Arabidopsis thaliana: one gene and its partners. The protein of the gene in region 1 purifies or fractionates together with the protein of each later gene. This does not show direct contact. Each region holds a gene or a part of one and is shown in the gene's direction. Other genes may lie near its edges.

Evidence for each region.
Region 2: the proteins of TRS120 (region 1) and AT3G05000 purify together in Arabidopsis thaliana (affinity purification with mass spectrometry, with the first as the bait; one study listed by BioGRID). This does not show direct contact.
Region 3: the proteins of TRS120 (region 1) and SEC5A purify together in Arabidopsis thaliana (affinity purification with mass spectrometry, with the first as the bait; one study listed by BioGRID). This does not show direct contact.
Region 4: the proteins of TRS120 (region 1) and SEC3B purify together in Arabidopsis thaliana (affinity purification with mass spectrometry, with the first as the bait; one study listed by BioGRID). This does not show direct contact.

The regions. Positions count from the first base shown.
Region 1 is NC_003076.8:3,493,520-3,501,223, forward strand, and holds TRS120 (TRS120), read left to right. Parts: upstream 1-1,675; 5' UTR 1,676-1,812; coding exon 1,813-2,223; intron 2,224-2,415; coding exon 2,416-2,622; intron 2,623-2,729; coding exon 2,730-2,912; intron 2,913-3,095; coding exon 3,096-3,205; intron 3,206-3,278; coding exon 3,279-3,338; intron 3,339-3,815; coding exon 3,816-4,104; intron 4,105-4,265; coding exon 4,266-4,555; intron 4,556-4,857; coding exon 4,858-5,738; intron 5,739-5,849; coding exon 5,850-6,755; intron 6,756-6,867; coding exon 6,868-7,091; 3' UTR 7,092-7,426; downstream 7,427-7,704. Other genes in the region: ALF4 (aberrant root formation protein), read right to left, coding at 55-114, 230-396, 721-793, 883-1,032, 1,131-1,310, 1,467-1,631. UniProt on the Arabidopsis thaliana protein: Specific subunit of the TRAPP II complex, a highly conserved vesicle tethering complex that is required for the proper transport of proteins in post-Golgi trafficking pathways to the growing cell plate in mitotic active cells.
Region 2 is NC_003074.8:1,386,669-1,390,438, reverse strand, and holds AT3G05000 (Transport protein particle (TRAPP) component), read left to right. Parts: upstream 1-1,607; 5' UTR 1,608-1,741; coding exon 1,742-1,893; intron 1,894-2,366; coding exon 2,367-2,484; intron 2,485-2,566; coding exon 2,567-2,789; intron 2,790-2,966; coding exon 2,967-2,995; 3' UTR 2,996-3,264; downstream 3,265-3,770. Other genes in the region: Cand2 (Protein of unknown function, transmembrane-40), read right to left, coding at 54-245, 552-836.
Region 3 is NC_003070.9:28,846,084-28,853,876, forward strand, and holds the start of SEC5A (exocyst complex component sec5), read left to right. Parts: upstream 1-1,787; 5' UTR 1,788-1,929; coding exon 1,930-2,355; exon of another isoform or gene 2,356-2,639; coding exon 2,640-2,794; intron 2,795-2,902; coding exon 2,903-2,988; intron 2,989-3,114; coding exon 3,115-3,309; intron 3,310-3,390; coding exon 3,391-3,518; intron 3,519-3,597; coding exon 3,598-3,756; intron 3,757-3,896; coding exon 3,897-4,001; intron 4,002-4,256; coding exon 4,257-4,331; intron 4,332-4,536; coding exon 4,537-4,674; intron 4,675-4,766; coding exon 4,767-4,952; intron 4,953-5,080; coding exon 5,081-5,209; intron 5,210-5,340; coding exon 5,341-5,467; intron 5,468-5,550; coding exon 5,551-5,761; intron 5,762-6,162; coding exon 6,163-6,278; intron 6,279-6,395; coding exon 6,396-6,624; intron 6,625-6,851; coding exon 6,852-6,945; intron 6,946-7,038; coding exon 7,039-7,116; intron 7,117-7,203; coding exon 7,204-7,260; intron 7,261-7,388; coding exon 7,389-7,538; intron 7,539-7,681; and 1 more. Other genes in the region: AT1G76840 (uncharacterized protein), read right to left, coding at 483-679, 758-823, 938-1,205. UniProt on the Arabidopsis thaliana protein: Component of the exocyst complex involved in the docking of exocytic vesicles with fusion sites on the plasma membrane during regulated or polarized secretion. Involved in polarized cell growth and organ morphogenesis.
Region 4 is NC_003070.9:17,464,995-17,472,537, forward strand, and holds the start of SEC3B (exocyst complex component sec3B), read left to right. Parts: upstream 1-1,540; 5' UTR 1,541-1,756; coding exon 1,757-1,931; intron 1,932-2,342; coding exon 2,343-2,413; intron 2,414-2,555; coding exon 2,556-2,636; intron 2,637-2,837; coding exon 2,838-2,905; intron 2,906-3,029; coding exon 3,030-3,132; intron 3,133-3,306; coding exon 3,307-3,455; intron 3,456-3,843; coding exon 3,844-3,961; intron 3,962-4,072; coding exon 4,073-4,177; intron 4,178-4,454; coding exon 4,455-4,556; intron 4,557-4,632; coding exon 4,633-4,770; intron 4,771-4,951; coding exon 4,952-5,080; intron 5,081-5,163; coding exon 5,164-5,244; intron 5,245-5,323; coding exon 5,324-5,398; intron 5,399-5,577; coding exon 5,578-5,748; intron 5,749-5,841; coding exon 5,842-5,998; intron 5,999-6,091; coding exon 6,092-6,156; intron 6,157-6,252; coding exon 6,253-6,423; intron 6,424-6,507; coding exon 6,508-6,587; intron 6,588-6,805; coding exon 6,806-6,887; intron 6,888-7,148; and 4 more.

The DNA.
Region 1 (7,704 bases):
GAAAAGTCAGAAAAGTTCCATGATATCGAAACAAAGTTGGAATCAAGTACAAACCGTTATCTGTATCACATAGAGACAAAGTAGACAACGGACTTTTGCTTCTTCTTCGTTATTCTGTAAAACAAAGAAAAGAGATCAAATCAGGCAAAACGAATATTCAAATTAGAGAATTTACACTTTGGGTAGTGATTTAGGGAATCCTAATTGCCAATTTATCAAACTTACAGACCAGTTTTGAAGAAACGTCTCGAATTGAAGAGGCAATGCCTAGAGCCTTATCAAATAAATCTTCAACTTGCACGTCTGTTTCCAATGAAATGTCCTTCAAAACGTTCAGGACAATTGGAACTGCAACCTTTAATTGCTCGTAGTGACGCCTCTGGATCAAAATAAATACTGAAACCAGGAAATTTGAATAACTTTTTACTGCTTCAGTTCACGAAGACTAAATTAATATCTTCAGTAACAAAACTAGTTAGGGATTCAAACACAAACTTTAAGATATTCATACTTAAGTACAATCAAAGCAAGAGTATTACTAAAATTGCAGGTGCCAAGCTAAAATTCACTTTCATGAGAGAAGTCTATAAATTTTAGGATATTCATACTTGTGTACAATCAAAGCAAGAGTATTACTAAAACTGCAGGTGCCAGGCTAAAATTCACTTTCATGAGAGGAGTCTATAAATATCTTGAAAACGAGAAATCTTCAACTGGTACCTTTAGAGAGCCCATGCAATAAAGGAGTAGAACAAGTGGAGGCTGAATGATAGCACCGTGCAGCATCGAGTGCCTGGTTCAGAGTCATAAGGTGATCAAAAAGAACTTGTAATCTTCTTATGCCAAATACCAAGAAGGAAAAAGAAATTCCAGATCAATTACCTCACAAAGAATTGAAAGCATATCCCGTGGATTGCATGCTTCCACAAACCGATCAACGATTTCCTCAACTAACTGTAAACATCTGCTTGATATGTCTGCAAACTTGGAAGTTACTTTTGGCAAGTGAAATGACAGTGCATCTATAACATCCTGTAATAAAATGAATCGGGGAACAAAATCATAAGCTTGGTTCTCTAAACAAAATCCTTCCGTTTGGCTTTGAAAGCGATTCGAAAACTGAAAAGTACCTGATCCATTTGAGGAGATGATAAAACTTTCAAAATTTCATCTAATACTTCTTCAATAACATCGTTCTCCAGTTCATTGTTAGCATCCAAAGCTACGTTCTCATACAAAGAATCCAAACAGCTGACAAGTTCTGTCACAAAACTCTCAAAGTCTTGAAATCCTCCGGCTTCTTCAACTGACTGAAAAATCACAAAATTAGCGGCGAATTTTTCATTCGAGCTCCAAAAATCACGAAACAGCTAAGTATTCATCGATCTCAAAGCATCTAGAAATTCCACCCAGAAAACAAATTACACAAACCCGAAACGAGGAGAAGAAGAAGAGAGAAAGCTTACACTGAAACACAAAGCTAAAAGTTCTCGTACACGACGCGAAGGAGAAGTAGTGACAGTAGTTGACTCGGAGCTCCCTTCAATGGACGATTCCATAACGCCAAAACTTTTCAATTTCGCCCAAGTTTCGTTCACAGTGAGAGTATTAATAATCGCGAATTTAACCATATCGTTTGGTTATATGAATAGAGTTTAACCCCGGATAGTCTAATTCTAACTAAGAATAGTTTAATACCTGTACCCAAACAGACCACGTTCTCTCTCTCAACACTTTCTCGTTTTCGTCTCCTTCAGATCCGGTGCACTCACGCTCACCGAAAGATCCTCACTCTCCTTCTCTGATCTCGCCATGGAACCTGACGTCAGTATCGAGACTTTGTCGATCATTCGGATCGCCGTCCTTCCGATCGGCACTATTCCGCCGACGCTTCTCCGGGACTACCACTCGATGCTGCTCCGTCATCACACGATCGCGCTCTCAGCTATTAGCTCTTTCTACACTGAACATCAGAAATCTCCATTCACGAATCAGCCGTGGGATTCCGGCTCTCTCCGGTTCAAATTTGTGCTTGGTGGTTCTCCTCCGAGTCCTTGGGAGGATTTTCAGTCTAATCGGAAGATGCTCGCCGTGATCGGCCTTTGCCACTGTCCCTCGTCCCCTGATCTTGATTCTGTCACTGAAAAATTCAATGTCGCTTGTAAGAGTTATTCCTCGGCTCTTGTCCGGCGCTGCTTCGCTTTCTCCCCTGGCGATTCGCAAGTAAGTATATTAGTTTCCATGCTTCTTATCTGCTATGGCATTCTTAGCTCGATGCCGATGGATCTAGCTAGCTTTTTTCTGATTTGTCTCTACAGTTGATAGTGATGTCCATTTTTTGTACCAGTGATTTAGTTACTTGCTTATGGATGCGTTAGATTGACGATTTACTGAACAATGTACTGTCTTTTGCAGCTTGAAGATGGAGACAAGAAGGGTGAAAATTTGATTTTGTTTCCTCCATCTGACAAGCAAACTCAGGAGTTTCATTTACAAACAATGATGCAAGACATTGCCGCTTCGCTGTTAATGGAATTTGAGAAGTGGGTTCTTCAGGCAGAATCTGCTGGCACAATTTTGAAGACGCCTTTGGATTCCCAAGCTAGTCTCAACTCAGAGGAGGTTTATGTCTAGGTGTCCTATAATTTGGTCTACGTTTCATTTCTTCCTCTGGAAGCTTATAACTTATTAGCATAGTCTTCTAGGCTCACTAGTTTTGTTTAATGCAGGTTATTAAGGCCAAAAAGCGTAGGCTGGGACGTGCACAAAAAACTATAGGAGACTATTCCTTGTTGGCTGGTTCACCTGTTGATGCCAATGCTCATTATTCTACTGCTCTGGAACTGGCCAGATTGACTGGAGATTACTTCTGGTATGCCGGTGCCTTGGAAGGCAGTGTTTGTGCCTTACTGGTAAGGCTTTATGCAAATATATCTCTAAATGCATTGTTCTTACATTTTTAATAGTATTATAGTCCAAAAACATGGATAGTGATGTGCTGTTTATCGAAAGTGCACTGATTATGAAATTGCTCTCATCTGTCCCTCTTTAATTAAGTTTGCAATCATCTTAGTTTTCCGTTTTCTTAATATTAGGTAGATCGGATGGGTCAACGTGATGTGGCTTTAGAAGATGAAGTTAGATATCGATACACTAATGTTATCTTGCACTACAGAAAGTCATTTATTCAAGAAATTGCTCAGAGGTAATTCTACCAACCTGTTTGGCTTTCTTCTTCGATAAACTTAAGTAATAGCAATCAATTCTCTTCCTTGCAGAGTTTCGCCCCTAAGCTTTGAACTCGAAGCTACCCTTAAGCTGGCCAGATTCCTTTGCAGGTATCATTGTATGCTCTCTATTTCTTTAAATTATCATGGTGTGGTTTCCTTTCTTGCCGTCTCCTGCTTAAGTTTAAGGTTGCTATGGTATTTTTGTCTAGTAGGAAGCTATATCGCTACTAAAATTTAAATATAAACTCATGGGATCTTGTGTGTGTGTGGCTTTGATCCTCTAAAACTATCTGCAACATTCAACTTATAATACCAATATATTGAGATTACTATTAAGTATTAAGTGGCCTAGTGGAGGATGGCTGTATGTTAATGTTTTGTGATTGATGGTGATGTTAGCTGGGAAAAGAATAATTATTACGTTTTGAAAAAGCTAAAATACATGGGTTTTCCGTTTAGTATGAAATGATACTCTCTGGTTGTGGCAGCTTTTATGTTTTTTTAACCTTCTGGTTGCATCCTCATTTTTTTCTTGGTATCTTTGATCTTAATCATTCTTACAATGTCATTTTATGTGTTGTGCAGGAGGGAACTGGCTAAGGAAGTAGTAGAGCTATTAACAAATGCAGCTGATGGTGCAAAGTCTTTAATTGATGCCAGTGATAGGCTCATATTATATGTTGAAGTAGCGCGTTTATTTGGAGCCCTTGGTTATCAACGGAAAGCAGCCTTCTTCTGTAGGCAGGTCGCCCAATTGTATTTGCAGCAAGACAATCGATTGGCTGCTATCAGTGCCATGCAAGTTCTCTCTATGACAACTGATGCATACAGAATTCAAAGTAGGGCATCCATGTCAAAAGTGTCGGTTAACAATGTGAGTTTGCCAGCATAGGCATTATTTTTCCTCTCTTGTGTTTGATTGAGCATGGTTTTCTGGAGTTTTTTTTGTTATCATCACTTTTCACTATCTTGGTATTTATCCATGTATCATACTTTGATAATATATTGTATCTTCTCTTGTGTTTGTTGGTAAAGGAAACTGGGCGCCTACCTGACGCTGGGAAAATGCATCATCATTCCATTGTCTCCCTGTTCGAGTCCCATTGGAGCACTTTGCAGATGGTTGTGCTTAGGGAGATACTCCTCTCTGCTGTTCGTGCTGGAGATCCCTTAGCTGCATGGAGTGCTGCAGCTAGGCTTCTGAGGTGGCATTATCCTCTAATTACACCTTCAGGTCAAAATGGACTTGCTAATTCCCTTGCAAATTCAGCGGATAGATTACCTTCTGGAACTCGCTGTGCTGACCCTGCCTTGCCTTTTGTAAGGTATGTTTATCAGCAGTCAACCTTTTTGCTCTCAGAGATGTTTTGCTTGTGCACTCTCACCATCATGAAACAACCTAACTTGGTCATGTTATATTTCCTAGCACTCTAAGTAGAGCAACGAGATCAGAAAAATAAGTAATAATCTCTTTTAATCCATCTCTTGGGCTTCATATATGCCCAATATGTGTTTATTTTCAGGAATGTGTTCCATGTTTGGTTCTTAGCTGACTCTGGCAAAACTGTGTATGTTTTGGCAAATTTTAATGGTTCTTCTAAGCATGATTATTTTAATGAAATTTCAGGCTATTCTCTTTCCCACTCCATTCCTCCCAAGTGGACATCGTAAAACGCAATCCAGCAAGAGAAGATTGGTGGACAGGCTCTGCTCCTTCTGGGCCATTTATTTACACTCCTTTCAGCAAAGGAGATGCCAACGAAAGTAGCAAGCAGGAATTGATTTGGGTGGTCGGTGAACCAGTTCAGGTCTTAGTGGAGTTAGCAAATCCTTGTTGCTTCGATTTGCGGATTGATAGTATTTATCTCTCAGCTCACTCGAGTAACTTTGATGCGTTTCCTGTCAGTGTGGACATTCCCCCTAACTCTGCAAAAGTGATCACATTATCTGGTATTCCAACAGCTGTAGGACCAGTGACAATTCCAGGCTGCACAGTTCACTGCTTTGGTGTAATCACTGAACATGTGTTCAGGGATGTTGACAATCTGCTTCTTGGAGCAGCACAAGGACTTGTATTTTCTGACCCTTTCAGATCCTGCGGATCTGCAAAGCTACGACATGTATTTGTTCCTAACATATCAGTTGCTCCTCCATTGCCCCTCCTTGTGGCTAATGTTGTGGGTGGTGATGGTGCAATTATTCTGTATGAAGGTGAAATTCGGGAGGTGTGTATAAATTTTGCAAATGCTGGCACAGTTCCAATAGTACAGGCACATGTCTCGCTCTCTGGAAAGAATCAGGATGCTGTTATCTCGATCGCAGATGAAGCTTTACAGTCTGCTCTTCCCTTGAAACCTGGGGCACAAGTGACTCTGCCTGTGACTTTAAAAGCTTGGCATGTGGGTCCAACTGATTCTGACAATACTATGAGCAGTGGCAGGAATGCTGCGGGTAACACAGGAAGACCAAAAGACGGAACCAGTCCATCATTGCTTATTCACTACGCAGGTATTCATTTCTTCCTTGACGTATGTTTCTATGTATCTTACTTTTTCAGTGCTTCATGTATCCTCACGATGACTAATTACTAAAAGCATTTTTGTATTCATATTTTTGCAGGGCCATTGTCTAACAATGGGGATTCCCAAGAAAAAGAATCTATCGTGCCACCGGGCAGACGGCTTGTTGTTCCCTTACAAATTTGTGTTTTGCAAGGTTTGTCGTTTGTGAAAGCTCGTTTGCTTTCCATGGAAATCCCTGCACATGTGAGTGACAACCTTCGGGATGAAGACATTGAAAGAGAGAGCAATGCAGACAGCCTTGTCAAGATCAATCCCTTTAGGGGAAGCTGGGGACTACGGTTTCTTGAACTTGAGTTATCTAACCCAACAGATGTTGTTTTTGAAATCAGCGTCTTCGTTCAGCTGGAAAACTCTGCCAAGGAAGATGATTCTTCACCAGTACAAGATTCTCCAGAGTATGAATACCCGAAAACAAGAATCGACCGGGACTATTCTGCTAGGGTACTGATTCCATTGGAGCATTTTAAGCTACCGGTTCTTGATGGTTCATTCTTCACAAAGGACCCTCCACCTGGTAGCCCTTCAAGTAGTAGAAATCCGAGCTTCTCAGAGAAGAACACGAAAGCTGAGATAAACACATTGATCAAGAATCTCATCTCTAAGATAAAAGTTCGGTGGCAATCAGGAAGGAACAGCTCAGGAGAACTGGACATCAAGGATGCAATTCAGACAGCTCTCCAGACGACTGTGATGGATGTTTTGCTCCCAGATCCGCTAACATTTGGTTTCAGACTGGTCAGAAACGGTCTGGAGAAGGATCCTGAGACAAAGGCTGAGTCCCCATTTTCAAAGGGATCTGTTCTGTCACATGAAGTCACTCCTATGGAGGTTCTGGTCCGCAATAACACTAGCGAAGCTATCAAGTTGAATCTAAGTGTTACTTGCAGAGATGTAGCTGGACAGAACTGCACTGAAGGAGCTGATGCCACTGTCCTCTGGGCTGGTAAGATTCCTGTCACTAAGTAATAAATATTTGTGTAACATAGATATTTGCTGCCATTATAGCCGTGTGTATTACAATGAGATATGTAAAAGGTGGCTTATACTTTTGTCAGGTGCTCTTAGTGGAATCTCAATGGAAGTAGCGCCGCTGCAAGAAGCAAGACACTGTTTCTCACTCTTCTTCCTTGTTCCAGGAGAGTACACGATGGTAGCAGCTGCTGTAATTGAAGACGCTAACAATGTACTCAGAGCACGAGCAGGAACTGCTTCTCCAAACGAACCCATCTTCTGTCGTGGACCGCCTTTTCATGTCTGTGTAGCTGGAGGTGCACTGTGATTCGTTAACCAAATCAGGTCTTGGCATTATAATTTATACTCTGTTTTTTGCTCTGTTAGTTGATTTCTCGAGAATCAATTATAAGTTCCGGGTTTAAGTATGGGTCTTTATAAATATCTCTATAATTGCTTGTGTGTTTGTCTCTGTATTTACCTTGGGTCATCTTATGACCACCATGCATAGACTATGCTTTTTTGGAATTTTACGGCCTCGGTTCTGAGACTACTTTTCTCAAAGTAAGTGTTTGTACTCTGCTCAGTGGGATCACTTTCAGTGATAAAAAGAATAAAACGATTATAGCATAATATTAGCAAAAATAAAACTATTTAACCATGAATTCCTTCCCTATTGTGTATTGAAAAGGTCCACAGAGCAATGACATAACTTTCACCGTCAAATAAATACCATTCATTGATATAATCAAACAAGGCAGTGAAGTTTCCCCAAAGCTCGTATGTCGTGTATTAGTGGCCTTACGGATTAATCAATAACTAAAAAATAATACAATAATTTACTTTAGAAATAGTTACGATTATTAATTTAAAGCAAAAAAAAACTGACACAAAGTATCTTTGGCTAAAGAGGATTGTCCTATTCTATTGCGTTTGTTATT
Region 2 (3,770 bases), on another chromosome or scaffold:
ATATCTATCTATATATCAGAAAGTGTATCTAACAGTTATGAACACAAATCTACCTTGAGAAGCAAATCGAGACCAATGACAAGCCCCGAGATGAGGAAAGTTCGTGTTAATGCTTCAGCACCGCTTGCATAGTTTCCTTGGAAGAGAAAGGCTACCAAGCTTACTTCCAGAAACAACATTCCAGATGTTGTGAACAAAGTTAACAAATTCCAAATAACTTCTTTCCCCGGAGTGCATTCCCATGCCTAAACTCATGAAAAGTAAATTCAAAACGAAATCTGGAGTAAGACTAAATCAGGTAAAACATTTCCTGTTAAGCAGCATCTAACCAAGAAATCAACACTAATAGCTTACACAAAATACAAAAGCTTTCTAATCACCAGTGTAGAATAAAAACAATGTTGATAAGATCGCAAAGTTTCTACATTTACAGAGCCTAAAACACTCTAAAAAGCATTCTTCTTCAATCTAAGTTCTGATCTCTTTACACGCAACATAGGTATGAGTTACTTGTGAAATGAATCGAAGTAAAGAAGAGAACTTTAACAAACCTGAAGGCAACACCAAGCAAGATTGAGCAAGCTAACAAGCCAAAGAAAACCATAATAGGCAATCATAATGTAAGATCTCCGATTAGACAACTTGGACAAGCTCTTCTTCGCCTCGTACGCTAAGTAAGCGACGAATAGAATAGATGCTAAAACCAAAACCGTGTTATGAAGAAACCCATGACACTTCCCGACCCATCCGCCGATAAACCCTCCGGTGGCCGTCGAATCAGGGCTTAGCCGAGAAATCACGAACGGTGACTCCGCAATCTCGCTGAGCACTCGCATTTCATCAAATTGTACGAATCAGAAACCAAGTAGACTTAGCGCAAGGAGCGGAAAGCAATCCCTAGTTCCAGAAAAGGAGCTCAATTTCGAGATTTGATGTTTTTGCGATACAGAATTCGTATGAATCGTATATTTCTTCTTCTCTCTGGCGACCAAATCCATACACTTGACGCAAACATGAGTAATTACACAAAAGTTAAAGGGTATTATAGGTAATTATCATCGCTTCTCCCACTTCCACTCTAAAACAAAAAAAAAAAACTATCATTTTTCTCATCCTTTTTATTTTTAACTGATTTTACATGTGATGTTTAAAGAGTTAATTATTGGACATGTGATGTTTAAAGAATTTAAATATTATTCTTTTCAATTCTGTATCTTAAATTTGAAAGACTTATTACAAGCTGATCTAATTTCAAAATCAATCTTATGAAATGTAAATTTTTGAAGTGCTATTTAATAATCAATAATGTGTTATTCTTTTTAATTAAATTAGAAAACGTGGGAGACAATTGTCTCTCTTTTGCCCACCAAAAAGATATTAAAAAAGTCCTATTCAATAATCATGATTTATTTATTTATATTTATATCTCATATTATACAAGTAAAATTGATTTTTAACCATAAATGATCAGCATTCAGCACACCAAAAGTAATTTCCATTCACTTGAAATAATTGTATAAATCGGGTATTTGAAGGAAAATTGAACCAAGACGATCCGGTTTAAATGTCAGAGATTAAGGTTATCATGACTCTTTAAAAAATGAAGTCACAGATCAGAAATAATAGAAAACTATTAAGGACTTAAATGTAAATACTCTACAAGTTAATAGATCGGAGCTTCGTTGCATAAGCCCCAAACCGGTGGAGAGAAGACGGAAAGAGTCTGAGAGAGAGAGAAGAAATGGGGAGAGAAGTGGCGGAGAGCTGTGTAGACACTATGTTAATGGAGATGGTGGCGATGTACAGTGGCCGATTCTATGCTAACAAGCCGGAACTCGCCGCTCGGAGGATCGAGGCCATTGGTTATCAGGTCGGCCACCAGCTCTCCGAGAGGTTTGTTTTACACTTGATCATCGTCTTCTTTCGATCTGGTTGATCATTGTATCTCTAGGTTGCTAGTATTAGTTGTAGATCTGAAGATGATGGCGAATGTATATCGTTAGCAATGATTCTCTTTGATATTGGATTTATCGTTTCTCGTGTGTAATTGGCTGAGAATGTGATAGATGGGAAGATATATGGCGCTGATTCGAGTTTTTTTCTCATTGCTCTAGTGGCTAATTTTTGTATTTAATCGTGCAATGTTTTGGTTAGGAAATTTTCTTGTTGTCTCAGAAGAATGATTCTCTTAGTCCCTGATTAGTTATAGTGTGTGTGTACGAAGAATGATTTTAGTCTGTTGAGGCATGTTTTGTTGCTTCTGAAGGTGTTTGCCTACATAAAAACTGTTTTACAGTGTTGTATGATGGCAGATATTTAGCATTTTACTTGATTGTGCATAACTTCAGCCTTTTTTATGTCGTTAGGTACACTATGGAAAGACCAAGGTTCAGTGACCATCTAGAGGCAATCAAGTTTATCTGCAAAGACTTCTGGTCTGAGGTCTTCAAGAAGCAGATTGATAATTTAAAGACAAATCACCGGGTAAGATAACTGGGATTTTACCTGAACAAAGACCAAAACTCTTCTTGTGTGTGTTATTCACAGATGGAATGTTTCTCTTCAGGGTACTTTTGTATTACAAGACAACAAGTTCCGGTGGTTGTCTCGTGTCTCAATTGACCCTTCATCTGAGAATGAAACCCAAGATCCTTCTACTCCAGGGGAAAGCAAAGCTGCACAAGCGGTGAGCATGTACCTCTATTTCCCGTGTGGAATCATTAGAGGTGTCCTCTCCAACTTGGGGATACCTTGTGCTGTCTCTGCAGATATATCAAGCCTTCCCACATGTGAGTTCACAGCTTGCTTTGCTTGTTTTCGAAATTCTTATATTCTTTCACTTTCTTCTATATTCTCAAAATCACACATTGGAGGGAAGAAAGATAGAAAATTATTTCAAATATTGCTTATTACCTGTCATTATAAGTTGCTTCAGTTCGGTAACTATCCTTGTCATGTCCTCACAGGCTCTTTCGTGATTCGGGTCAAGGCTTGATTCTGCATTTAGCTCGAGTACTTGGCTTTATACTTTCAAGGAAGATAGATCCTTCGGGTCTGATCAATCTAAAACCCATTGCAGGCTTCTGTTTGCTGTTCTTTTGACACACTTTAGCCTTGTGGTGCTTGTTTTAAACAGTGAGGGCTTGGTTTCATGTTTGAAATGACTTTTATTTTTCTGTTGTAAATTTTTGTTGATATCTTATATACAGTAATTCCTGATGCATCTCCATTTCATATCATTTTTAAAAAAGGCGTACATTTGGGAAAACTTGAAAAACTCTTTTTGAAAAAATTTATACTACAAAAAAAAACTAACTCGATATCCAAATTCCAAATCGTTTGGTTTAGTGGAGCTTTCTTCTCGGCCTTGGTTAGCCAACTTTCCAAACTCAGAAGAAGTCACTGATTTGGGAATTAGGTCTGGAATCCACACTCTTCTAAGGTTCTAGAAGACAACGATTGTTATGTTTTAATTTGTCTCCTATTCGTTCCATGTAATTTTTAGTTTTTTTTTTGTTCTTGTGAATCTGACTCCTGTGTAAGGTGGTTTGACTTCTTATTCTAGGGTTTCAATTTCTCACATCTTTATGTCGATTCTTCATTTGTTGGTAGTGTTCCGGCATCTGTCTTTGGAGACGTGGTTCGTAATCATCTGATTGTTTTGTAAATTATTTTTGGTTGAGTGCTCATAGAGTCTAGTTTAAAAATCTAATGTTGGTGTTTTGCTTACTCTTGAGTCTTAGTGTGACGGTTTAGAACTAGGAACTTCT
Region 3 (7,793 bases), on another chromosome or scaffold:
CGTTCGTCTTTCACTCAGATGGAACTTTCATTAGAGAGCCTTTTGATGAAACAAAAGTTTTATTAAGTTTTATAGGTCAGCCTCAGTACTCAACCCAAAAAGTTGTAAAATCTATTAAGATAACAGAGGAGGAACTAAGTCAAATCTTTTGGCACAAAAGAGTACTATTTACACACTTGTATAGACATATTACTCTTCTGTTTTACAACTAGCAGTAATTCGACCAAAAGACTGAACAAATGTTTCAATTCCAATAAAGGACTCATCTACGACTAATACCATGCAACATACATATTTCCTTAATCACATCCATCATAATAGTGTCTTGCTCATGTTTCTCTTCATGTTATCCTTCCAAAGGTTCAGAATCCACCTCTTGATGAGTGTTACTTACCGGTGAAATATGACCTGAAACTTTTAGTGTAAAAAACCATAACATGTTTTGTAGCTTTGGTTTCAGATGTATGAGTAAGTCCTCCTCCTCAGCCATTCCTTGTGGCTTTTCTTTTACGAATTCTTGATTCACTGTCTTCATTTATTCGGAAGAGCCTCTTGACTTTAGTGCCGACTGCTTCTTCTAGCTCCAACTGAGTGTACTCATCCATAAGTTTTTCTGGTGTTAGATTCAGACAATGACCAACACTCGCACAACCGACTTTAGTTATCTCCATTCTTTCTTCTGCACTGTTGTTCTAAGTGTTGTGTTCAAAAAAGTTTCCATGTAAAGTTGCTGCTTGTACTTCCTTCTCTAAGGAACCTTTCACATCATCATCTTTGTTTGAGTGAATCTCCTTCCAACATTCAACTGAGTTTTCCAAGATTGCTGTGATTAAAATCAGAAAGAAACACGGATTAGAACAAAATTAGTTTAGCCATAAAACTGAAAAAGTAACTCAAATCAAATGAATACAAGTATATACCTTCTATAGAGCTACACTCTCAGATCTAGGAGTGCAAATAAGAGTTTCTCTCTTAGTTTTGGTAGTTTTCTCAGCAATAGATATTGAAACGATATTCTTAACAAGGTAACGGCCAGTAGACACGACTAGCTCAGCTTCAGTGCTGCTCACTGGTACTTGCACTGAAGCAGGTGATAAGCGCTTGACAAAAAGTACAGAGTGTGATGATACTTCCTCTTTGTCCTCCTTAACTGCAGATATTAAAACTGTGTCTCGCTCAATTTTCTCTTCACGTTGTCCTTCCATAAGTTCAGAATTCAACTCTTTAGTGCTTATTATTTGAGAAACTATCAACTGGTTTTTCCAGTGTAGAATCCAGAACATTCTCATAATCATAACAGATCCTGCACCTTTGGTTTCTGAGGAAATAAGGTGAATCATCAATCATTCCTTATGGCTTATCCTTAATGCACTCTTGATTCATTTTCTTCAACTACTATTGGAGCCTCAAATGAATTATGTCTCGAAGAGTTCCTTGTCAATCTAACATTTAGCTTCTTGAATCTTGACATTTTCAACAGAGGCTCCATTTCGTTCACAGTCAATACTGGAACAACTTTTCTGTGAATTACTCATTGCTTCCAGTATTCAAAATGTATATCTCAGAGAAGGACAAATCACGTCGCAACGTAATAATTTTTTGCAAATAATCTAAATTAATCTAAGAGTCATTTTTGAGGATAAAATCGAGTTACTGACATCTTGTGTGTCTGTCCTTCATACCAAATTATCCGGTCAAAAAGCCACCACACCGGAAAATATTATTTTCTTATCATCGCCATGTTTTGATTTTTCCACGTTTACACCTTTTAATCTAAAAATCAATATTTCTGGAAGAAAAAAAAAAACAAATTAAAATTGTCACACAAATCACAAACTGAAATCTCAAAATCGAAACTAAAGCTTCTCAGATCTCTAACTATAGCTCAAGGCGGAGGAGACTGAGATCGATCATCTGAATCGCCGAAACATGTCGAGCGATAGCAATGATCTTGACGAAGATGAGCTTCTTCAAATGGCGTTGAAAGAGCAGGCTAAGAGAGATCTCACCTATCAGAAACCTCCTTCATCTTCTGCTCGTAAGCCTGTTGCCAATTTAGTGCAGCAGCCTCGACAGCAGAAGCCTGTGGCTGCGGCTGCCGCTCCGCCGAAGAAGTCTGCTGCGGCGGTTAGGAAGCCTTCCATGGATGAGGATGAGGAGTCGGAGGTGGAATTGCTTAGCATTTCGAGCGGGGATGATGATTTGGAGAGGGAAAGGGAAATAGGTGGTTCTAGTGGTGGTGCGGGGAGAGGAAGAGGTAGCGATGTACGAGAGAAGGGAAGAGCGAGGAAGGAAGATGATGGTGCTTGGGATGGAGGAGAGCCTGATTGTTGGAAACGGGTTAATGAAGCTGAGGTATGTATTTGTGGCGAGATTCATCAGTGAATGCTTATGGCTTTGCTTGTTCGATCAAGTTCAAGAGTTTGAATTCGATATATTGATCTATTTGTTGAATTGTACGACACTGAACAATACCATTCGTGGGATACGGTGAATGCTATCCATAGTTTCTGGTGTTGAGTTGATATAGAGAGCTTGATAATTAGCATGCCATTAGTGATTTTAGAACCATAGCATCATATGGATGTATAAGTGGAAAGATGACCATTTTCACTGAAATTCCGGTGGCATTTTGGCAGCTTGCTCGTAGGGTTCGTGATATGAGGGAATCGAGAACAGCACCCGTGGTTCAGAAAGTAGAAGGTAAAGCACCTGCACCTGGGAAGAAAGTGGCTCTGACTAGTTTGCAGTCACTTCCTCGTGGAATGGAATGTATTGATCCACTAAAATTAGGGTAATTGCTCTCGTTTCGTTTTGCTTACCATGGAAGCCAGTCAGATGCTTTGTACTCTGTCTTTGATATGGTAGAACATATCTAAACCTGAATTTGTCTACTTCATAGGATCATAGACAATAAGACATTGAGATTAATCACTGAGTCGTCAGGCAGCCCATCAAAAGCTGAGAAAGTGGATAATACTCTTCGCGGTATGTCTTTCTTTACCATATCTACAACTCGAGTGAACAGTAGCACTTACAATTTTTTGGAGGGCTAATTCGATGTACAATTTCCAGTTGTCTAATTGTTATGTATCTTTTTCTGAGTATTTGCAGAAAAATTGGTTTACTTCTCTGATCATTTCGATCCGAAGCTGTTTCTTTCCCGTATTCACCAAGACACGACTGCAGCAGATTTGGAGGCTGGTGCCCTTGGCTTGAAAAGTGACTTAAAGGGTCGGAATCTGCAAAGGAAACAATTGGTGAAGGACAATTTTGACTGCTTCGTCTCATGTAAAACAACAATTGATGGTATGTATTATTACTTCCAACTGAATAATTTATGTTTTTTTCTTCTTTCATTTTCATGTTGACCACTGATTTTCTTAATAGATATTGAGTCAAAACTGAAGCGGATTGAAGAAGACCCCGAAGGTTCAGGAACTACTCATTTGTTTAATTGTATGAAAAGTGTGACATCGAGGGCCAATCTTGCATTTGAGCCACTTTTTGAGAGACAGGTTGGTGTGATTCTGATTTACTTCTTTTGCTTGTCACTCTCTTTCATTTTGCTGAAGCCTTTTTCAAAATCACATTTAGGCTCAAGCTGAGAAAATCAGGTCTGTCCAAGGAATGCTTCAGAGATTCCGGACACTGTTCAATTTACCCAGTATCATTCGTAGCAGTATTAGCAAGGGTGAATATGATTTGGCTGTTCGAGAATACAAGAAGGCGAAATCTATTGCTCTACCTTCTCATGTATGCCTGAATTTTCAATCACACTCTCTTGAGACAGATCCTATCCACATTCCTATAAGCACTGAGCCTTCTTTTTATTACGATTTAATTTAATTACATAACAAGGCTCTTGACAATATAGAAAAACAAGCTGCTTTCAGGTTAATATACTCAAGCGTGTACTCGAGGAGGTTGAGAAAGTTATGCTGGAATTTAAAGGCACACTATACAAGTCTATGGAAGATCCGAAAATAGACTTTACAAGTGTATGTCAGTTATAATTCATTTTATTTTAATGTCAACTAGTAATTAAACTGAACAATCCTTCATTCAAATATTCACCAAATGCATTAACCATACTACTGATATCATGTCAATATTGCAGCCATCATGAATGTTAACTTTTATTTAGGATATCCCGTTTTACATTTTCCCAGTTGTTGTACCTACTAAATAAAATGACTAAATTTTTTTCCAGTCTATTTTTTTGTCTTGATATCTGAGGTCTGTTCTTATTTTAGCTGGAAAACACTGTGAGGCTTTTGCTGGAGCTGGAACCCGAATCTGATCCTGTGTGGCATTATCTAAATGTTCAGGTCGGTATATTCGAAGATGTCACTCTTTTACTACTTCTTACTATGTTCTGTGTGGAATCTGGATTCCTAATAGATTTGCTTTGAGTATCAGAGTGACTTTTAGCTTATAAAATCTTTCATTTGTTTCAACTTAGCACATTTATATGTCTCCTACACTTTTTGTTGCAATCCTCGTGTATTTTCATAATTGGCTCTTTAATTACAGAATCATAGAATCCACGGCTTGCTTGAGAAATGTACATATGATCATGAAGCAAGGGTGGAAATTTTGCGTAACGACACTCATGAGAAAGCCATCTCAGATGCAAAGTGGCAACAAATTCAACAAAATGGCGTTTCATATGTGAGTCTAGCATTGAGAATGATATATCATTAAAAGACTATTCAATATTCAGTTCTTTAGATGATAACGTGCCTTGTTTTTTCATCCTCTAGTCAGATACCGCCTCTTCTAATGAAAATAATGCAGTTCAAGTTGACCTACAATCAGTGGAATTCCCCAGCGAAGAGATTGATATTTTGAAGGGAAGATACATCAAAAGATTGACTGCTGTGCTTGTGCATCATATCCCTGTGTTTTGGAAAACAGCTATATCTATTTTCAGTGGAAAATTTGCCAAGGTATCCGCTATTCTTTCTGCTTAGATCCCTATACTGACCCAAGAGTAGATTAATTCTGTAGTTATTATTTCTTTCTTGAATTGGAAATAGTTCTTCATTTGATTTGAATTTAACTTTGATTTGCTTAGTCCTCCCAAGTTACTGATACTTCAGCCAATAAAGCTGAGGAGAAGGTCACAGAGGCAAGATATTCAACTCATTCTTTGGAAGAAGTTGCTGGGATGATACGCAAGACTATTTCTGTCTATGAAGCAAAGGTATTATCTTTGTTTTCTAATTAAGTGACCTCTTCATTGGAACTTTTCTTCACATTAGAAGGACAATCCTGTGGTATCTGTGCTATAAAGTGGCTCTAAATATTTTCTTCTCCTGATTACTGCTGTTGTAGGTGAACAGCACATTTTGTGATTTTGATGAATCATGCATTCTCCGCCCATTTATGAGTGATGCCATTAACGAAGTATCAAAAGCATGCCAAGCTTTTGAAGCCAAAGAGTCAACGCCCCACAGTGCTGGTATTTGAACTTCTTCTGAAGCTTGAGCTTGCTGTTTAATTTAAGTAGACTAAGATGCTGTATAACCTTTTTGGTTATGGCAGTCGTTGCACTGAGAAAAATCCAGGCGGAAATCACTAAGATTTATATCCAAAGGCTTTGCTCTTGGATGAGGGCCTCCACGGAAGGAATATCAAAAGAGGAGACGTGGATCCCGGTTTCTATTCTTGAAAGGAATAGATCTCCATATGCCATCTCTTACTTGCCTCTTGCATTCCGTTCAGTTATTGTCTCTGGCATGGAACAAGTCAATCTGTAAGTTTCAACCGTATTTTGGTAACATATAGAAAATATTTACATTGTGAGGTTTACTACACTGTGGAAGTGAAAAACCCCAGTTTTTTCTATTTGTTGTATTTGGAGTTCCAGACGTCTATGTTTCCAGTACATACATCAAGGTCTAGTCTTTTCTGTATACATTAGAAAAAACAAAATGCCAATAGTCAGTAATTGTGATTCTAGCTTGTCATACCGTGATTACCAATTCTATGCTGAGACATGTAAAATCAAATGACTGTACCATGTTTGTATGATAGGAAAGGGGTCTTATATGCTTCTCATTGCTATTCAGGAAACTGCATATACAAATGTGTACTTTTTTCATACCACAGTGTTTACTTTGTTAACCTGTTGATTTCCGTGTATACCTTTTTCAGGATGATTCTGTCTGTCAAAAGTGAAGCTGCCAAATCAGAAGATATGTTTGCCCAAATTGAAGAAATCATAATATCCGTTAGACTGGCATTTTTGAACTGCTTTCTGGATTTTGCTGGTACGAATTTTAACCAAGCATCCTTGATAATATCCTCATGCAAACACCGGAATGCAGGCAAATGCACACTTTAAAGTGGTTACGTTGATATGCTAATTTGCTTTCACCATATGCCAGCGCACTTGGAGCAAATTGGTGCTGATCTTTCCCAAAGCACCTCCAGACAAGATAATTGGAAAAACGGATATTCTGATGAGCATCAGGAAGAACCATCAGCCAACACCTACGGAAGTGTAATTGATCCTCACAGGCGGTTGTTGATGGTCTTAAGTAATATAGGTTACTGCAAAGATGAACTTGCTTCAGAGCTTTACAACAAGTTCAAATATACATGGTTACAGTCTAGGTTAGTCCCTGCTTAATAAACGTCATTAGTGCTCTTCTGAACATCGTCTTTACTAAGTGGTAAACAAGTTGGGCATACTCGTGCATACTTAAATGAGTCAAACTGGATAATAGGTATTAACGGTTAAATTTGATGTGATTCATAATCAAATACTGTTCTCATGGGTGGATTTTGTATATGGTGTTATAGCTCACTAAACTAAGATTTTTGTGTTTTCACTTATTCAGAGACAAAAATGAAGACAGTAGTGATCTTCAAGATCTAATAATGTCTTTCTCTGGACTCGGAGAGAAGGTCCTCGAGCATTACACTTTTGCTAAGGTATTAATTTTTTTCCAGCCATATTAGCCTATGTATGCTTTTGCTAAGTGTTATAAATAGAACTTTAAATTTCCGAGAATTTCACCTGTTCAGGCAAATTTGATCAGAACAGCGGCCACAAATTATTTGCTGGACTCTGGTATTCAATGGGGATCAGCACCTCAAGTGAAAGTAAGAAATCTATGCGAAACGATATCTATTAGCTTCTTGATTTGAATGAAGAAAAGAATTACTTAAATATTTACTCCAATCTTCCAGGGCATACGAGATGCTGCTGTTGAGCTGTTGCACACTCTTGTAGCTGTCCATGCAGAGGTATACTCATGAAAAAAAATTATTGGTCGTTTTGTGGTTCTTTAGACATTTTGACATTAAAATGTGTTCCTCGACAGTGTTCATAGTGTAAAATCCTAATAACTTTGCACCGGAAAATAAAACTGCAGGTCTTTGCTGGTGCTAAACCCCTCCTGGACAAGATTCTTGGCGTGCTGATCGAAGGTCTAATCGACACTTTTCTGAGTGTTGTGGAAGAAAACAGATCAAGTGACCTAAGATCAATTGATGCAAATGGTTTCTGCCAACTGATGTTTGAGGTAACTTGTTCTTTTCATCATTAGAGATGCTCACTAACAAAAACTTCATCTCATAATGAGAAACAAAGTTGTTTTTACAGAAGCAGAGAAGCTTTGCAGATTTGTGATTTGCTAATTCTGAATTTTCATCACAACTGCTGCAGCTTGAATATTTTGAAACAGTACTGTATTCATATTTTACAAGCGCTGCAACCGAGTCTCTTAAATCTCTACAAGGAACCGTGTTGGAGATAGCTATAGAGAGCATCAGTGAAG
Region 4 (7,543 bases), on another chromosome or scaffold:
CAAAAGGAACAAAAAAACTTAACAAACAAAAGCCAAGATAGTTTAGAGGATCTCGCACATAGGCGAGAAAGAGAAAACCGGACATAGCCGGAAACAAAATCCGACATCATCATCGTCGGAAAATGAAAGGCCAAAAGCTTTCTCTCTCAAAAACTTTTGAGAGAGAAGAGAGAGAAAACCTGCATAACGTTCAGATTTGTTTTGATCTGGGTGTGTAGCTTTTTGCTCTTCCCTTGCTTTAATGTTTTTTTCCTCAAATTTTTGTTGGTCCTACAATAATGAGTTGCCACGTTGTTGGAACTACAATAAGGAGTTGTCACGTAAATTCAAACCAATTTACTGAAATGGGAACAAAAAAGTCGTAATGGTGGACGGAGTGCAATCTTATGTAGGCAGAAGACCACTCTTTTTGGCTACATAATGTGTTTGAAATTGATAAATCTACGTATATAATTTTAGTAGCCTTTTTGACCAAAAATCTCTTTATTATTTATTATTAACATTTAGATCTTTACAAATTATATCTCAACTAAATATTGTATTATTAAAAACTTATAATTTATTAGTTTGCACTAAATACTTGAATTAACTTATTCTTTTATTACATATTTAGTCTCTACAAAATCTATCTTAAAACATATTTGTCTAAATTTATATTTTTAATTAAATCTTATCATTATTGAACTACATTCAATTAATTACTAATTTTCTAAAATTTCTGTATCTATATTAAATATAAATATATGATTTTTCTTTTACTTTTATTTGTTATTACATCTAATTTATTTGATTTTATATAAAATACATATAGTTAATAAAATATTAGATTTGTTGTTGCATATCATGTAATTCAAATTTTTAAAAACAAACATATATAACTCAATCGATAAAGAAAAAAAAATGTATAAAATGTCCCACATTACTTAAGAAATTGGGCAATGATTCAAAATCTTACTATAAAAAGAACCAAAAGTTTGAATACGAATAAGTCGAAAGCTTGATTTATGAAGCATCCAAAATTAAAAATGTTATCCGGTTTACTCTGAATCATTATTTTAAAGAACTGAATTTTTAAAAATTTAAAAATATTAAAAATATTAAAAATTTGAAAACTTTTAAAAAGTTATACTATAAAACGTTTTAAATATTTATAATAATATTAATACGAGACAGTATATTACGAGTGAAATTCTAAATATTACAATAAAAATATAATTATAAAGTTTAGATCGTTGTTATTATTTTTTTGAAATTTCAAATATTATAAATATTTAAATTTTTCAAAAAAAGATAAAATAATATTTAATTTCACGTGATAGGGTTACATGGTAAAATAAGTTTTAGTTGATATTAATATAGAATGATATATAACTATACGCAAAATCTTAAAATTTGAAGACAAAATTCATTTTTGTTGATAAAAAAATATACGCATGTGGTATAAATATATATATAAATAATATTAATTAAAATAAAATATTTCACTTTCTAATGAAAACTTCAACCCACCGCCGGTCAATCTCTGGTGCATTAGATTATTGTAATGAGTTTGATTGCGCTCGTTTCCTTTTTGAAATTGTGAACATGTCGTTGTTACTATCATGAATCATTCAAACAAAAGAAAAGAAATGGGAACAAAAGAGAGATTCAACCTTTCTTGGCACTACAATAAGGCTTATTGCCACGTTGTTGGCACTATTTTTCTCTTCTCTCTTCTACCGGTCATCACCTCCTTGCTGGATCCGCAACAACAACAATGGCCAAGTCAAGCGCCGACGATGAAGAGCTTCGGCGAGCTTGCGAGGCGGCAATCGAAGGCACCAAGCAATCGATCGTCATGTCGATACGTGTGGCCAAGAGTCGCGGTGTTTGGGGCAAGTCTGGAAAATTGGGTCGACAAATGGCTAAACCCAGAGTTCTCGCTCTTTCCGGTGATAGAACCTTACCTTCTTCTTCTCTCTTTTGATTGTTCTGATTTGATTCATTTCACTTTTAATTACTTCGACCTTCTTCGCGTTGATTGGCTAGTTCTAAGCATTTAGATTCGGTGATTATGGAATTTAGAGAATCTGTTGAATACTAAATCGATGAAATTCTACTGTTCTTGGCCATTTTATGACTCGTGAGAGCTCAATTAGGTTTTCCTGAGCAACAAAAAGGATTCTGGTAGTGTCTGTTAGGTGAATCAATCTAGTGTACTCGAGGAGAATCTGTGTTGTTATGATTCAAGTGGAAGATATGTTTACTCTGATCCACGTTTCAAGCATTCTCGTCCAATTGGTTTTAGGTTCTTTAGAGTTGTAATCAACTGAGTATGCTTTTTGTTATTCTGCTTTCTACAGTCAAATCGAAGGGTCCACGAAAGAAAGCAATTCTTCGAGTCATGAAGTATTCAAGTGGAGGAGTTCTGGAGGTAATCTTCATTTTCTTTCTCCATGTGAGACACACGTTCACGAGTAACGTACAAGGTTTAACATTTTAATTTGGAAGAAAAATGATTGATAAAAATCAATATAGATTGACTGATGATGTTTTATAATTCTCTGTTCATCCAGCCTGCTAAAATGTATGACCTCAAGCATCTGTCAAAGGTGGAAGTCATAACTAGTGACCCAAGTGGATGCACATTTACCCTCGTAAGATTTTGATGAAGTGGTTAGTATCTAAGATTTCAAGAAGAAATGCATAATTACTTAAATAATTCGTAGCATGTGGTGTAAGAGATGGAACACAAAAGCTGATGCAAAGTCTTTTAGGGGTTTTACTTAAATAATTTGTAAAACACTGTTCAATATTTTCCATGTTCCCACTGCTTTTGCTGATGCAAAGTCTTTTAGGGGTTTGATAATCTCAGGAGTCAAAGTGTTGCTCCTCCACAGTGGACCATGCGCAACACTGATGACAGGTACTGCAGTTAGCAACATCAATATTAACTATTACAAGATGTGAAGTATACATGATAAGCGATGGTATTTTTGTTGACGTAGTTTTCCTCATTTAATACATACCTTTCTCTGTCGTGATTGTAGGAACCGACTTTTAGTTTGCATATTGAACATATGCAAAGACGTATTAGGCCGCCTTCCAAAAGTTGTTGGTATAGATATTGTCGAGATGGCCCTTTGGGCAAAGGTTTAGACTATAACTTATTCTAACTTTAAATTTTGGTCTAAGTCTCTTATATTCGAAAGAAGCTTTTGTATGTAATTGTTATTGTCATTTTCCCCTCCTTTCAGATATGTGAGTGCTTTTTCATATAAGAAAGTTATCTAATTTGTGTTTCTTTGTTTCATAATATTGGTCTAGGATAACACTCCAGTAGTCACTACTCAAAGAAGTACAGAAGATGGGGAGCCTGTTGCTGAATCTGTAACAGAAAGCGCCTTGAAAGTTACTGTTGAGAAAGAACTAGTCTCTCAGGCCGAGGAAGAGGATATGGAGGCTCTCTTGGGAACGTATGTCTTTTTCTGTTCCTTTCATCATTTGTTTAATCCATTTTGTTCCTTTTTTTTAAGTGTAAAATCAGTATATATCTTACAAAGGAGGAGTTTTTTTTATCTACTTGTGTATTTGTTATATGGAATGAAGAGAGAAGAGTCCGCCTAAATCTTAAGCTTGGGAGACTAGGTTTCTGACTAACTTAGAATTGCTTATATGTCCAGCATGATTAGTAATTGTAGAATCAGTACCTTGCATATTTCCTCTTGATTGAATTTAGTTTAAACTATTGGCATTGTTTCTTTGAGAACTAGCTTGCTGGGGATAAAAAGATAATGGAAGCAGATATCTATTCCACTTATTTTGTCAGATTATTCACTCAACTAATATAATTGTCATATACAGTTATGTGATTGGCATTGGTGAAGCTGAGGCATTTTCTGAAAGGCTGAAACGAGAGCTTCAGGCGCTTGAAGCGGCAAATGTACATGCAATTCTGGAAAGCGAACCATTAGTAGATGAGGTAATTCCTTTTCTGCTAATTATTATTCTTTGGATTATCTTGTTATTAGACAGTTCATGGGATGCGAGTGTTAAATTTTGTTGTATATATGATCATCTTCATGCTTTTCAGGTTTTGAATGGACTAGAGGCAGCAACAAATATCGTTGATGACATGGATGAATGGTTAGGAATATTCAACATTAAACTTAGACACATGAGGGAAGACATTGAATCGGTAGGACTCTTGACCTATAAATGATCTTTTTTTGCTTTGTTTTATTATAAGGACAATGTCACTGCAGTGAGAAATTAGTTGTTGTATGTTGTCAATAAACTCTTCTCATACATTGCTTTATTTTTTCTTTTTGGTTGGTAATTTCTTTCATAGTACTTCTGAAATCTGCAAGAGTAGGGGTGAAAGAGAAATTGATTTCCAAGTATATTTGTTGGACTGATTAAACCTTTATATGTCGACACATGTTCTCACTTTTTTTTTGTTTTGTGGTTACCAGATAGAAATTCGAAACAACAAGTTAGAGATGCAGTCTGTAAACAATAAAGCTCTCATTGAGGAACTTGATAAAGTTATTGAGAGACTGCGTGTGCCTTCTGAGGTTTGTTTCACTCTTTTTTTCTGCTTACTTCTCTTCTGTCTAATTGGTTCGCTTATAGAAGTGTTGTTGATTGCAGTATGCAGCATCCCTAACAGGAGGCTCATTTGATGAAGCAGACATGCTTCAGAATATTGAGGCTTGCGAGTGGTTAGCCAAAGCTTTAAGGGGTCTTGAAGTGCCCAACTTAGACCCGATCTATGCTAATATGCGAGCTGTATGCCTAATCACTTAGATCTTTCTAATTCGGTATCTCTAGTTATTATTCTAATTTTATAGTAAATCGGCCTTGCTTATTACATTACGTTTTGGGAATAGAAAAATACATTTATAATTGTCTGTAACATTCATTAACTATTGTCTACTTTTTTGTAATACTCTTGCTGTATTTTCTTCAGGTAAAAGAGAAACGAGCAGAACTAGAAAAATTAAAAGCTACTTTTGTAAGGAGAGCTTCAGAGTTCTTGAGAGACTACTTTGCTAGTCTGGTAGATTTCAAGTTCAGTGACAAAAGCTACTTTTCTCAGGTACTACTTTTATAAAATTCCATCGTACCAATATGAAGTCTAGTGACTAATTCTGAATATTTATCACCGCATCTTTTAAACAGAGAGGGCAGCTGAAGAGGCCTGACCATGCTGATTTGCGGTACAAATGCAGAACATATGCTCGTCTTATGCAACATTTAAAGGTAAAACCGAGAAATGGCTAGGTGACATGCTAAAAGCTCCATGCAGTACATTGATTGCTTGTCTCCTTTCTTGTTGCAGGGTCTTAATAAGAATTGTTTGGGACCATTGAGAAAAGCATACTGCAGCTCCCTGAACTTGCTCCTTCGTCGAGAGGTGAGGACAAATATATGTTTCTTTATCAATTTGACCGCTGACTAACTGGGACACTTAATTGACTAAAAGACTGCTATAACGTACTGAATGTTAATGTGTGGATATTCAGCAAACATTTTATTTTCTTCCTTAGCGTTAAATATTCAGTTACCAGAGATTTGTTTCTTCAAAATATATAGGCTCGTGAATTCGCGAAGGAGCTTCGTGCAAGCACAAAAGTATCACGAAATCCTACTGTTTGGCTAGAAGGATCTACGGGTTCTAGTCAGAATGCAAACACTGACACCTCTGCAGTGTCAGATGCTTATGCCAAGATGTTAACAATATTCATCCCGCTTCTTGTAGATGAGGTCATTGTCAACCGAATGGTTTTCTGTTTGGTCTTTAGATGCAACTGATATATGTACTAAATCATCATGTTTCTTTTTTGCTTCATAATACAGAGTTCCTTTTTTGCGCACTTCATGTGCTTTGAGGTACCTGCTCTTGCTCCTCCTGGAGGTGCTGGCAATGATAAGAAAAGCCAGTCCAACAATGACGATGGTAATGATAATGATGATTTGGGGATCATGGACATTGATGAAGCTGACAAGAAACCTGGTAAACTTAAACTGCTTGCCATCAGTAAAGCATTCGCTACATATTATAAGGTCTAATGGTTCTGAAAGCAAAACAATATTCCAATTTTTGCAGGTAAAAACTCTCCAGACCTGACGGCATTGAATGAATCTCTTCAAGATTTACTTGATGGTATTCAGGTAAGATGTCCCCCAAAATAAGGTTTCTATGTGAAAACCTAGAGGTAGCGTTCATTTGTCTTACTAAATAAGAGATTTGTGTTCTTGTCATCGCAGGAGGATTTCTATGCTGTTGTTGACTGGGCATATAAAATAGACCCCCTACGGTCTATATCAATGCATGGTATAACCGAACGTTATCTATCTGGTCAGAAAGCTGATGCTGCAGGATTTGTTCGCCTTTTGCTTGGAGATCTGGAGTCGAGAATTTCTATGCAATTCAGCCATGTAGTCCGTCTACTCAGAGATTGTTTAGTTTTTGTTCCTGGCATACCATTCCTACTAATCAATTCAAGTTGACTTTAACTGCAGTTTGTGGATGAAGCTTGTCACCAAATTGAAAAAAATGAACGTAATGTAAGACAGATGGGTGTCTTGCCATATATTCCAAGGTAATCAAGAAGTCCATACATTGAAGTGCCATGTGAATACTTATTTATGTCCCCACCAGTTAGTACTTCCGTCCACCCTGTTTATAATTTCAGTCAATTTTGTGGTTCTGAACTATTTCTCCCATTTAGATTGTTGTTCAGGTTGACTATAGGTGATCCAAGAACCCGTTATAGTATTAACATGAGGCTTTCCTAATATTGTTATCTCATTTTCATAGATTTGCAGCACTTGCTACTCGTATGGAACAGTACATACAAGGGCAATCTAGAAATTTGGTTGATCAGGCGTACACAAAATTTGTGAGTACAGCTATTTTTATGAGTTTATAGAACATGACTAATGAAATTACACAAACCATGTAAGCAATAATAGACAGTCTCTGATTGCATATGATCTTAGTTCACTTACAATGTATAAACCCACCATTAGCTCATGACTTCATTCTTAACAACAACATATAAGTAAAGTATATCTCAGATTGTCTCTGCATTTACTATCGTCAATTTCTTTTGTTTCTTTCCTTGTTTAGCTGATAGAGTCTGACTCCTAATGTTTTATAGGTGAGCATACTGTTTGTGACCCTCGAGAAAATTGCCCAACAAGATCCTAAATATGCAGATATTCTCCTTTTGGAAAACTATGCTGCTTTTCAAACTTGGTAGGTCCTTTTCTAACTCTCTCTCTCTTGGTTTGTCTTCTTATTCCCTAACCTTGTACATTTTGTTTGTGCAGCCTGTTTGACCTGGCTAATGTTGTGCCGACTTTAGCCAAGTTCTATGACCAGGCAATGGAAGCATATGAACAAGCTTGTACGCGCCACATTAGCATGATAATTTACTATGTAAGTGGTTCTCCCCATTTGCAGCTAATAGCATAACTCCCGTTTTTTTCCATTCTTTTCGATTTATTGTTAAGGGTACACCCGTTTGTGTTTGCTTCATGTGTTCTCTCGTCC